3 linked regions of the Anolis sagrei genome follow. The protein of the gene in region 1 interacts with the protein of each later gene in a pairwise test. Links are inferred from orthologs where the notes say so. Each region holds a gene or a part of one and is shown on either strand. Other genes may lie near its edges. The genes, in order: MYOG, EIF4E2 and POLR2C.

Evidence for each region.
Region 2: the proteins of MYOG (region 1) and EIF4E2 interact in binary tests that used the Homo sapiens proteins (3 or more experiments, as listed by UniProt). The two-hybrid records come from large-scale screens. The link is inferred for Anolis sagrei from reciprocal best matches to the Homo sapiens genes MYOG and EIF4E2.
Region 3: the proteins of MYOG (region 1) and POLR2C interact in a two-hybrid assay, tested with the Homo sapiens proteins (2 studies listed by BioGRID and IntAct). The link is inferred for Anolis sagrei from reciprocal best matches to the Homo sapiens genes MYOG and POLR2C.

What each region holds. Positions count from the first base shown.
Region 1 is NC_090024.1:206,029,636-206,033,389, reverse strand, and holds the start of MYOG (myogenin), read right to left. Parts: upstream 2,877-3,754; 5' UTR 2,732-2,876; coding exon 2,174-2,731; intron 357-2,173; coding exon 275-356; intron 1-274. UniProt on the Homo sapiens protein: Acts as a transcriptional activator that promotes transcription of muscle-specific target genes and plays a role in muscle differentiation, cell cycle exit and muscle atrophy.
Region 2 is NC_090023.1:265,351,142-265,354,895, reverse strand, and holds the start of EIF4E2 (eukaryotic translation initiation factor 4E type 2), read right to left. Parts: upstream 2,844-3,754; 5' UTR 2,821-2,843; coding exon 2,735-2,820; intron 642-2,734; coding exon 527-641; intron 1-526. UniProt on the Homo sapiens protein: Recognizes and binds the 7-methylguanosine-containing mRNA cap during an early step in the initiation. Acts as a repressor of translation initiation.
Region 3 is NC_090028.1:6,444,210-6,447,963, reverse strand, and holds the start of POLR2C (DNA-directed RNA polymerase II subunit RPB3), read right to left. Parts: upstream 2,550-3,754; 5' UTR 2,532-2,549; coding exon 2,393-2,531; intron 1,172-2,392; coding exon of another isoform or gene 1,167-1,171; coding exon 1,122-1,166; intron 887-1,121; coding exon 818-886; intron 1-817. UniProt on the Homo sapiens protein: Core component of RNA polymerase II (Pol II), a DNA-dependent RNA polymerase which synthesizes mRNA precursors and many functional non-coding RNAs using the four ribonucleoside triphosphates as substrates.

The sequences.
Region 1 (3,754 bases):
TACTTCTACACATACATGCATTTTAAAGATGGAGCGGAGCAGGAGAACTTAGGATTAATAGAAGCTGGATCTACACTGCTCTATATCCCAGGATCTGATCCCAGATTATCTGCTTTGAACTGGATTATATGAGTCTAGTTAATATAGGATAAACAGATAATTTGGGATCAGATCCTGGGATATAGAGCAGTGTAGATCCTACCAGAATGGTCCTTACCTCTAAAGAGCAAAAAGGGTTAGACCTTTGTGTTCCCAGAAGACAATATGGTCTTACCTCCTGGATGAGTGTTGAACTCCAACTGGGTGCTCCATTCTGGACTGCATGAAGTGCTGCTGGGTCCATGGTCACTACCCACCTTGAATGAGAAAATGGGAGATCTTTAGTACTGGTTTCACACTTTGACTGCATTAGATTTGGGGAAAGGTGATTCTGTTTAGACCAGAACTCTCAGCATTCCTCAACCAGCATGATCATTGCAATCTCGGCTTCACCAATTAAAGGGTCTTTCACCTTCAATGAATCGAAAACAGCAACAACAACACAGAGACAAACAATTTCTGATATGGCTGTGGTTTGCTGCTGTCTTCTGAGTCTATAAAGTGCTGCAAATGTACATTACAGGGATCTCCTGTGAAATTGAATCCAATGCCAACAGCCTAGGTGAACATGTAGTAGACAGATTGAGAAGCAGACAAAGAACAGAGAATACAGCCTGCAGCTGTTCATAACTTTCCTCTGTTCTCAAACCAGGCTGGATGAACATTCCCAAGCTTGTTTTGGGCAGTATATGAACATTCAGCCTACAAAATGTGAGGACTTATTTCAGAATAAGATATTTGGAAAGAAAATGGGAAAGCCATACTATTCTTTGAAACTAAACACAACCCAAATCAAATTTATCCTACTGATAGGAGGTGAGAGGTTTTCTACCTGCTCCAAGAGTCTCGGAGGGCAAGTTTACAACATGAGATAGCAATGGCTAGTCAAAATGTCTACTGCCACTAGAGCCCTTTCACAATACATACTGTTCCACAATGGTCTTACTCATTTTGTTCAGCAATTATAAGAGAGTAGTAATCCGAAAGGATGCTTTGAAAGGAGGAGCTGTAAACATATTGGAGAGCCTTATAGGAGAAGCCCAGAATTCAATCTTGTAGTATTTTGTCCCTTAGGACTGAAGGCTTGTACCCAAATGCTCTTGTAAATCTTTAAATGGAGATACCCAGTAACCCATTTGAACTCAACAGGTGTCCAGCGTCCAAGTCCTTCCTCATTGGCATGTGTATTAGAATTCATTTCCTGAGGTACCATCTGTTGGAATAAAATCCCATCCACTAGTCACTTGGGTTATAGGGGTGATGCCAGTTTGTCCTGTGACTCATGCCCACCTTTGATAAACTGCAGTATAGATAAGGAAGGATACATCTATTCCAAAATTCTTCATTATGCAATACCCTTATTAGGCAGGTTAATACTATCACAATTCCACTATATTATGCACAACTAATTTAAAAGGAACAGACCAAGACAGTCACTGCTGCATTTATAGAGAAAAACAATATAGTAATATTCATATATTTCTGGAAGTATACCCTCTACCTGTGTCAGCTGTGAATATGAAAGCTATAAAGGACATGAAAACTGAAATGTATAGTTTTAAATGGTGGAATATTTGTGTAGAAAGAAAATAATTCTCCAGCCATATCAAATTCTGAAAATGTTCAATTCCCTTTCAGTCGCCTTAAGCCACATACATTACCAGAATACACTGGGAGACATGGTTCTTCCCAGCCCACCCACCATGGAGTACCCTATACATTACAGATTTTGAACTATAATGCTCATAATTTCTAAACCATTGATCATGTTGCCTGGGACTGATGGGGATGTTAGTCAAATATATCTGGAGACCATAGTGCACTTCTGCTATCCTTTTACAGTGTAGTAACATCTACAGAAAACTACGAATACCTTTATATGACTTTGCTTATATATGACTGTTGGAGAATAGGCAGAGTGGCAGCCAATAATAGAAGCTAGAGAGTTTGGACTTGGGAATATATTGTTGAAGGCGGTCAAGCTACTGATTCTCTAGGAAAGGCTGATGCAGTAGCTGTTTGCTGCGCTCTTGGATGACTGTGTGATGACCTGTCCCCTTCCCCTGGCACTTACCACTGGCTGGTTGTTGTTGTTACAGTAGTGTAGTTCCCGCTGGTCCCGCTCCTGTTGGTTGAGGGTACTGAGCAGAGCTTGTAAGCGTTCAATGTATTGGATGGCACTGCGCAGAATCTCCACCTTGGGAAGCCGCTGATTTGGGTTGAGTAAAGTGCTCCGTTTCAGAGCTTCAAAGGCCTCGTTGACTTTTTTCAGCCGGCGCTTTTCCCTCAGGGTGGCAGCACGGCGCCGGTCGATGGAGACACTTTTCCTCTTGCATACTTTGCATGCCCAAGGCAGGCACTGTCCAGGGCTGTGGTCTGGCAGGACTGAGGAGGTCTTCTCCTCAACCCCAACCCTGCCATCAGAGCACAGGCTCACAGCTGCTCTGTCTTGGTAGGCTGTCTGTTCATAGCCATGTAAGCGAGGGCTCAGGTAGTTCTCCCCATCATAAAACCGTTGGTCTGTGAAAAAGTATGGGTTGGTCTCTAGCAGTTCCATGGTGAGCGTCTGGCAAGGCAGAGCGTGTGTTGGGGAGTGAAACGCAGGCCTCTCACACCAACTGCTTGGTGGCATTTAAACCCTGTGCGGGCATTAAATCACAGAGATAAATATAGCAAACCTCCAGGAAACCTGAGCTTGCCCTAAGCTGCTGCTTCGCATCAAAACTTGTCCATCTGATTTCATGTACTCTCCCTGTGGGGATTAGTCTGCTGCTTGGGGCAGTGCTGTGGCTAAAGTGGGGTGGGCGGAGGGGGGAGTGGATGGAGGATCTGGCATGTGCTCCAGAGAAGTCCAGCCGCCTCTCAAACAACAGCCCCATTGGATTATTTTCACTTGCTCTCCTACAATGATATTGATGATCAGTCAGCTCCCTTAGCTGGCAGCTCTGTGCAGCATTCCTGACTCATCTGCTCCTTTCAATTACTGCTCCCTGCCAGCTTCGAAGCCATCCATCCCTTTCTGGAAAGGAGCAAGGCACAGGCATAGACACAAAGGCAGGTCCATTTGTTCTCCTCAAGCAAGGAAGAATCACTCCACTTTCCAAGACCTCATGCTCTACTTTGGCCTAGGTGGCGTGCTTAAATTTAACACCCCTTCTTTGTGGACTCTTAAGAAATTCAGTGCCTCGAACATTTTGTAAAAAGCAGAAAGTCAACAGGTGAAACTTTCCTGATGTTACAGCTCAGTAATGGAATAGTTTCACCTTTTGATTATTGCCATCCATGAGGCTGTTAAAAGTACTTTCAGTCCATAAAAAGTAGGACTCTTAGGCAAAACGAATTCTACTTCCAATCATTTCTAGCTAGATTACTGTAATGTGCTCTAGACTAGTGTATTATTAAAAAATGCCAGCAAGCCACCCTACAGCTATACCAGCATTCTTGCAAGGGTTAGATGACACAACCATGTGGTTTTTTTTTATTCAATACCATTAGTTGCCAGATAAATTCAGGGCTCAATCCAAGATGCTGATTTCATTTTTATAGCACGGAATGGTCTGAAACCAAATCATCTCCAGGACAGTCTGTTCTCATATAAGTGCCCTAGAAGCATTCATCTACATTAGCCTTTCTCAGCTCAGTGTCCTCCAGATGT
Region 2 (3,754 bases), on another chromosome or scaffold:
TAATTATTGTATTCTTTTTAAGTGTCTTTTGCACTACAAATAAGATATGTGCAGTGTGCATAGGAATTCATTCATATTTTTTTTCAAACTATAATCCGGCCCTCCAACAGTTTGAGGGACTATGACCTAGTTCTCTATTTACAAAGTTTGAGGACCCCTGTTCTAGAGGCATTCTCTCCTGATGTTTCGCCTGCATCTATGGCAAGCATCCTCTGAGGTAGTGTGAATGAACTCCTTGTATTGGGAATTGGACTTTAGAAAATAAATCTCCACATCAACAACTCAATCCTTCTAGTGAACTGTAGAAATGGTGTATTACCTGCATTACAGATTCTGCTTTCAAAATCAACACACTGGAAAAGTTTGCACTGTTTTCTTTCACAAGGAGATAAATGGAATAGAGGCCTGATGGGCTTTAATATGACTTATTCACAGGTATCCTCTTGGTTCTGGAGCAACAGGTTAAAACCCCCCTGTCACAATCCTCCACTAGACACTTCAGTCTAGGGAAGAGGCAAGGACATACCTTCCTCTTGATGCTACTTTGGGATTTGTCTCTATCGTTTTTTTCCTTCTCACCATCTTTCTGTGTGCTGTTCTCTTCATTCTGGTCATGATCTCCACTGTCATCATCCTTCAAACTAGCAAAGAAAGGAAGGAAGGAATCAGTTTGAAAGCATGAAGGAGCAACTATGTTTAGCATAGAACAAAATCTAAAGGACAGACTGTGGTTATTATTAGACCAGACTGATGGATTCAGGCTACTGAGACAGAGCAGAGATTTTTAAAAGAAGCAGAAATTGCACTTTGGATGCTGAACAAGTGTCCTGTTACTTGTCCTTTTCTGTTCAGTCGGGTAGTTCTGAAAATTTGGTCCTCCACATGTTTTGGACTTCAGCTTCTATAATTTCTAAGAATTGGCAAAACTAGTTAGGGACCAAATTCCAAAATAGCTCATGGATTACAATTTCAGACCACTGATTCAATGTGATAAAAGAACTTTTCTGCATTACCATCCTAAGAATTTGTGGGTTTTACATGCAGGGAAAACATGGACAAATTCAGCTTCAGAGTCGTGGAAAATGGGAACACACAGAATGAACTGAACAGATGCATGTGTTTACACCAATTTCAAGTGCAGTTTTTAATGCAAGTTGAGGATCCATTATTTGAAATGCATGGGACCAGGAAATCCACATTTTGGGTATTTTTGGTTTTTAATCATTGCAAATGCATAATGTGAAATCTTGGAGGTAGGACTGAAGTCCAAATGTGAAATTCATTCATGTTTCATATGCACTTTACACACATAGACTGAAGGTAATTTTATACAAAATATTTTTAATAATTTTGTGTATGAAACAAAGTTTGTGTACACTGAACTGAACCACCAGAAAGCAGCAGTGTAACTATCCCAGCCACTCATGTTGAGCATTTTGGAGTATTTTGGAATCTCAGATAAGAGATGCTCAACCTTTAGTACTTAGTTACCTATCCCTACTGTATGACATTGTGTAGATAAGGTAAATGGTAAGGTAAGGGAAAAGCCATTGCACTCAACTTCACTAGATGTTAAACTAAATAGATTGGATCTGAAAGTGCTTCATTATTGGATGGCTGCAGATGTGGCTAACAGAAAAATGTGCACATTTCAAATGTGTGTAAAAATACAGCACAACCAGACACAGTCAAAGGGGGAAATCTATGCACACAAAATCAGACTTTAATAAATCACCCAAAAGAGACAATTTCATCTTGTAATATTCCCTAATGTGGACATAGGAAGAAGTCAGGAGATATTTATTTATTTATTATTTAGGACATTTATAGCCCACCCTTCTCACCCCAAAGGGGACTCAGGGCAGCTTACATAATTGGCATTATTCCATGCCCAAACAGCAATATCAATTAAAAGCAATTAATCAACCATTTAAAACAACATTATAACAACATATGTAAATATTACATGACTATTGTGCATAGATCCAAAGCCAGAGAGTCAAATAATCATATTCATCAATCCAGGGCCAATTCCTGCTGTAATGCCCAGCACCAACGGCCACTCTGGGGCCAGAATAAACAAGGGGAGCCAGGAGGACATTGCCATCTTGTCCCCTGTGACATCAGCGCCCCTCCCCCAGCAATAATGTAATATTATGTAGTACTAGTGTTATGAATGATGTAATAGTACTATGGTAGTTATGTATTATGTAGTATGTTGTATGTATTTATGACTTGTAAGCCGCTCTTCTGGGGTTATTATTTATTTATTTATTTATTTATTGTATTTTTACCCTGCTCTATCTCAACCCCGAAGGGGACTCAAAGCGGCTTCCAAATTGGCAATAATTCAGTGCTACATTACAACATACAAAATACATTGTGCATTAAATCATAAAAGAGCAACAAATAAATATATTTAAATAAGCAGTTGAGATATAGCACATAACCCCTGAAATCATAGTCCAAAAGCCATTCCAATCACAAGTTTTGATTTATATTTACAAACAAGTATTTCCAAACTTGGGTCCTCCAGGTGTTTGGGACTCCAACTCCCACAATTCCTAACAGCCTACCGGCTATTAGGAATTGTGGGAGTTGGAGTCCCAAACACCTGGAGGGCAGGCCCAAACTCGACCAGGCCTGTAGGAATGCCATTGAAAACTGTCTGCTCCTTCCTTTGATTTAGGATGTTGCCTTGAGGCCTAAAAGCGCCACTGAGGCCCGGACTCACGCGTCGAATTTGTTGTTCATCCTCTTCGGTCGTTCGCCAGCCGCTGCTTTGCTTCTTGCCCCGGACTTCCGCTCCTCTGCCTCCATACGCTCCCTTCACTTCCGCCCAGGCGGAACCAATCTTTTTCCGGTTGCTGTTTCCACCCGGACCCGGGACTACAATCCAGGCCACACTACTTCCTGTGGGCCGCTCTTTATGCCGCGAGTTGTCTATGGTTGTAAAATTAGCCGCGTTCGAAAGACTCGAAAGACCGCTCCCCGACAGGCAGAGATAGAACATATAGAGTGGTATCTCTGTACTTCTAGATGTGATATTTCCGGGTTCACTTTGGAACATTGTTTCTTATATATATCGACTTGTAAACTTAGGACAACATTTCTCATAAACATATAGAATCATAGAATCAAAGAGTTGGAAGAGACCTCATGGGCCATCTAGTCCAACCATTCTGCCCAGAAGCAGGAATATTGCATTCAAATCACCCCTGACAGATGGCCATCGAGCCCCTGTTTAAACATATCTCAACTTGTAAACTAATAAGATTATTGATTATTGACCTAGATCTCAACTTATAAACTCAGGACATCATTCCTTATAAAATAAAATAAATCTAAATAAAATAAAATAAAAATAAATCTAAATTATTATTATTATTATTATTAAATAATAATAATTATAGTTTATAATATTATATTATAATAAGTATACTATTATTATAAAATAATAATTTAGATAATAAATCTAAATAAATAAAATAAAAATAAATCTAAATTATTATTATTATTATTAAATAAATAATAATTATAATTTACAATATTATTATATAATATTATAATAATTATATTATTATTATTATAAAATAATAATTTAGATAATAAATCTAAATAAATAAAATAAAAATAAATCTAAATTATTATTATTATTATTATTATTAAATAAATAATTATTATTGTGATGGCACACCAGGAACATCTAATAAGAAACCTAAATGTGTCTGGCTATTTTCCCAGTGACCATCGA
Region 3 (3,754 bases), on another chromosome or scaffold:
TCATCCCCTGCTTGGGTATCAGCCAGCACGTCAACGACTTAAATCTAGAAATAGTTTTCTAAGATCTACAGAGACACTCGCTGGAACACCTCAGCAAGCAAGAGTCCAAAAGTGGTAGGCTCAAACCCAGCACCTCAACCAATGGCTGATACCAAAGGAGAGACTCCCCCCTGGGCACACAGAAGACTGGGCGACTTGGAAGGCATTGAACAGACTGCGCTCTGGCACCACGAGATGCAGAGCCAACCTTGAGAAATGGGGCTACAAAGTGGAATCCTCAACATGCGAGTGTGGAGAGGAGCAAACCACTGACCACCTGCTGCAATGCAACCTGAGCCCTGCCACATGCACCAGGGAGGACCTCCTTGTAGCAACACCTGAGGCACTCCAAGTGGCCAGATACCCATCAAAGGACATTTAACCAACTACCAAACTCACAAGTTTTGTATTTGTCTGTTTGTTTGCTTTGTTCTGTTAGAAATGTAATATAATGGACTGGTTGCTCTGACACGACAAATAAATAAACAGGATCCAGAATTCCCAAAGGGCATATAACATAAGAAAAATATAGCAGGAGAGGAAAAACTTGGGGATATTACTAAAAATGTAATTAATAATGTTGAATGCTAGTACAATCTGAAAAATTAAATGTGTTGGGCATTACACTATTTTATGAAAAATCCAGAGTTAGAAAGAGGCTCGGCATCAAAGCATTGGAATGTATTTTATGTGAATTACGCACATAATAAAATATTGTTTTAAAAACAAAACTAGAGAAGCCTGTGTTTTCCTATCGTGTCCTATGCCGGTTACTCACCCAACCTATGTGCAATGAACTCATCATGGAGGACCGAGGAGTTGGCATCTATCTGTACCCAGTCTATGGCTGCAAACAAAATAGTACAAAATGAGATAATAGCAATTTGATTAATCATGCTCAAAGTCTTCAATTCGTAGTATTGGACTTTAACATACTGTTTATGTATACATATAAGAATTTGAGTCCCAACATTGAATGTTTGCCGTATATATGCTGAGTCCACTTCGGGATGAGAAGGGTGGAATATAAATGTTTAAAATAAAATAAATTAATAGATAAACAATAAAGAATAGATAAATACCGATGGTGGGAACTTCAGCAATGAACACTCTCCTGATGGAATTAGCTACTCTGGAAAAGAAAAACAGAGAAATATTCATTGTTATTATTATTAGCAGTATTATATGTATTTATATCCTCCAACACAGAACCCCCATGACCACCAGAGTGGGCCACAGCAACGTGTGGCAGGGGCGGCCTGGACGAATTGACACGAATTTTTGACACAATACACCTAACAGTCCAACGAGTGTTCATCACCACTAAAAATACAGCCCCCCCTAGCAGAACAGACTTAAAAACCCCAAAATGCACCATACACACACACTCATATACTCATAAACTCATAAACACACATATAAAAATATACCCAAGCACACACAACTATAAACACACATACATCTGCATACACACACATATATACATGCACAAATATACACATGCACACATACACACACATATAGAAACAAATATGCATATAGACAAGCACACACATATACACACACATATACACAACGGTGGCGCAGTGGGTTAAAGCACTGAGCTGCTGAGCTTGTTGATCGAAAGGTCGCAGTTTCGATTCCGGGGAGCGGCATGAGCTTCCGCTGTCAGCCCTAGATTCTGCCAACTTAGCAGTTCGAAAACATGCAAATGTGAGTAGATCAATAGGTACCGCTCCGACGGGAAGGTAACGGCGCTCCATGCAGTCATGCCGGCCACATGACCTTGGAGGTGTCTACGGACAATGCCGGCTCTTCGGCTTAGAAATGGAGATGAGCACCACACCCCAGAGTCAGACATGACTGGACTTAATGTCAGGGGATGGCATCCTTGAAGTGACTGGACTGACCTTGAGGGAGCTGGGGGTGGTAACGGCCGACAGGGAGCTCCGGCGTAGGCTGGTCCATGAGGTCACGAAGAGTCGGAGACGACTGAACGAATGAACAACAACAACAATGTCAGGGGACTACCTTTACCTTACACATAGGCACACACACACACATATGCAACACATATATACACACATATATACACACAAATACATATATATACAGGAGGGCCACAGCAACGCGTGGCAGGAGACAGCTATAAATAAATAAATCTGTTAGTCTTAAAAATTTTGTCTAAACATTTTGTAGGGGATAATAATAATAATAATATGGGACTATTTCCCAAGCCCAGGAGGTGGCCTGAGACGCCTCCGTGCCTGAGTGGGGCAGCAGAAGCACTCTAGGCCCCGGCTTCCCTCTCCAGACTAGGCCCTGCCCCTCCTCCACACAAGCCCCCGCTCACGCCAAGTCCGTGTTCTCCACGATGAACTTGACGTTCTCGTCGCTGAGCTCCGTGATGCGGACGGTGGGCTGGTTGGCGTAAGGCATGGCTGGCGGGAGACCCAAACAAGGCCGCAAGAGCCTGAAACACCACGGCGCATGCGCAGCAGGAACGAGGCCGGGATTGGCGCGGACGCCGAGAGCCGCGGGGGCTGCTGGGAGACGCCGGCCGCGCTCTCCGCCAATCGGGGAGCAGAGCGGCGCCGACGTCATTTCCAGGCGGCGGTCGGCGGCGAAACAGGGAGGAAGCAAGCAAGGTAGGCCCTCGCTGACTGGAAGGCGGTTCTTCTCCCATTCCAGGCTCCCTTCTCTCTCTCTCTTCCTCTCGAGAGCCTTGTCACACTGCTTTACTATAGCCCGGCTATAATATTATACCTTGGCAACGTTTTGAGGGGTTTTGTGGTGTGGCGAGGCCTTGGAATGCCTGAGAGGCCCCTATTGCCGGCCTCATTGCCCTCTCGCATGTTGCCATGGCAGCCAAAGCGGGATAACAGTGCTTATAGGTATTGTCGAAGGCTTTCATGGCTGGAATCACTAGGTTCTTGTGGTTTTTTTCGGGCTATAGAGCCATGTTCTAGAGGCATTTTCTCCTGACGTTTCGCCTGCATCTATGGCAAGCCTCCTCAGAGGTAGTGAAGTCTGTTGGAATTAGGACAATGGGTTTATATATCTGTGGAATGGCTTGGGTGGGGCAAAGAGCTCTTTTCTGCTGGAGCTAGGTGTGAATGTTTCAAATGACCACCTTCATTAGCATTTGAAGGCCTGGCTGAGCCTGGGAAAATCTTTTGTTGACAGGTGTTAAGATGTGCCTGGTTGTTTCCTCTCTGCTGTTTTGCTGTTGTAATTTTAGAGTTTTTTAATACTGGTAGCCAGATTTTGTTCATTTTCATCGTCTCTTCCTTTCTGTTGAAATTGTCCACATGCTTGTGGATTTCAATGGCTTCTCTGTGTAAAACTCTAAAATTACAACAGCAAAACAGCAGAGAGGAAACAACCAGGCACATCTTAACACCTCTCAACAGGGGATTTTCCCAGGCTCAGGTTGCATTGCAGCAGGTGTTCAGTGGTTTGCTTCTCTCCACACTCGCATGTCGTGGATTCCACTTTGTAGCCCCATTTCTGAAGGTTGGCTCTGCATCTCGTGGTGCCAGAGCTCAGTCTGTTCAGCACCTTCCAAGTCGCCCAGTCTTCTGTGTGCCCAGGGGGAAGTCTCTCATCTGGTATCAGCCATTGGTTGAGGTTCTGGGTTTGGGACTGCCATTTTTGGACTCTCGCTTGCTGAGGTGTTCCAGTGAGTGTCTCTGTAGATCTTAGAAAACTATTT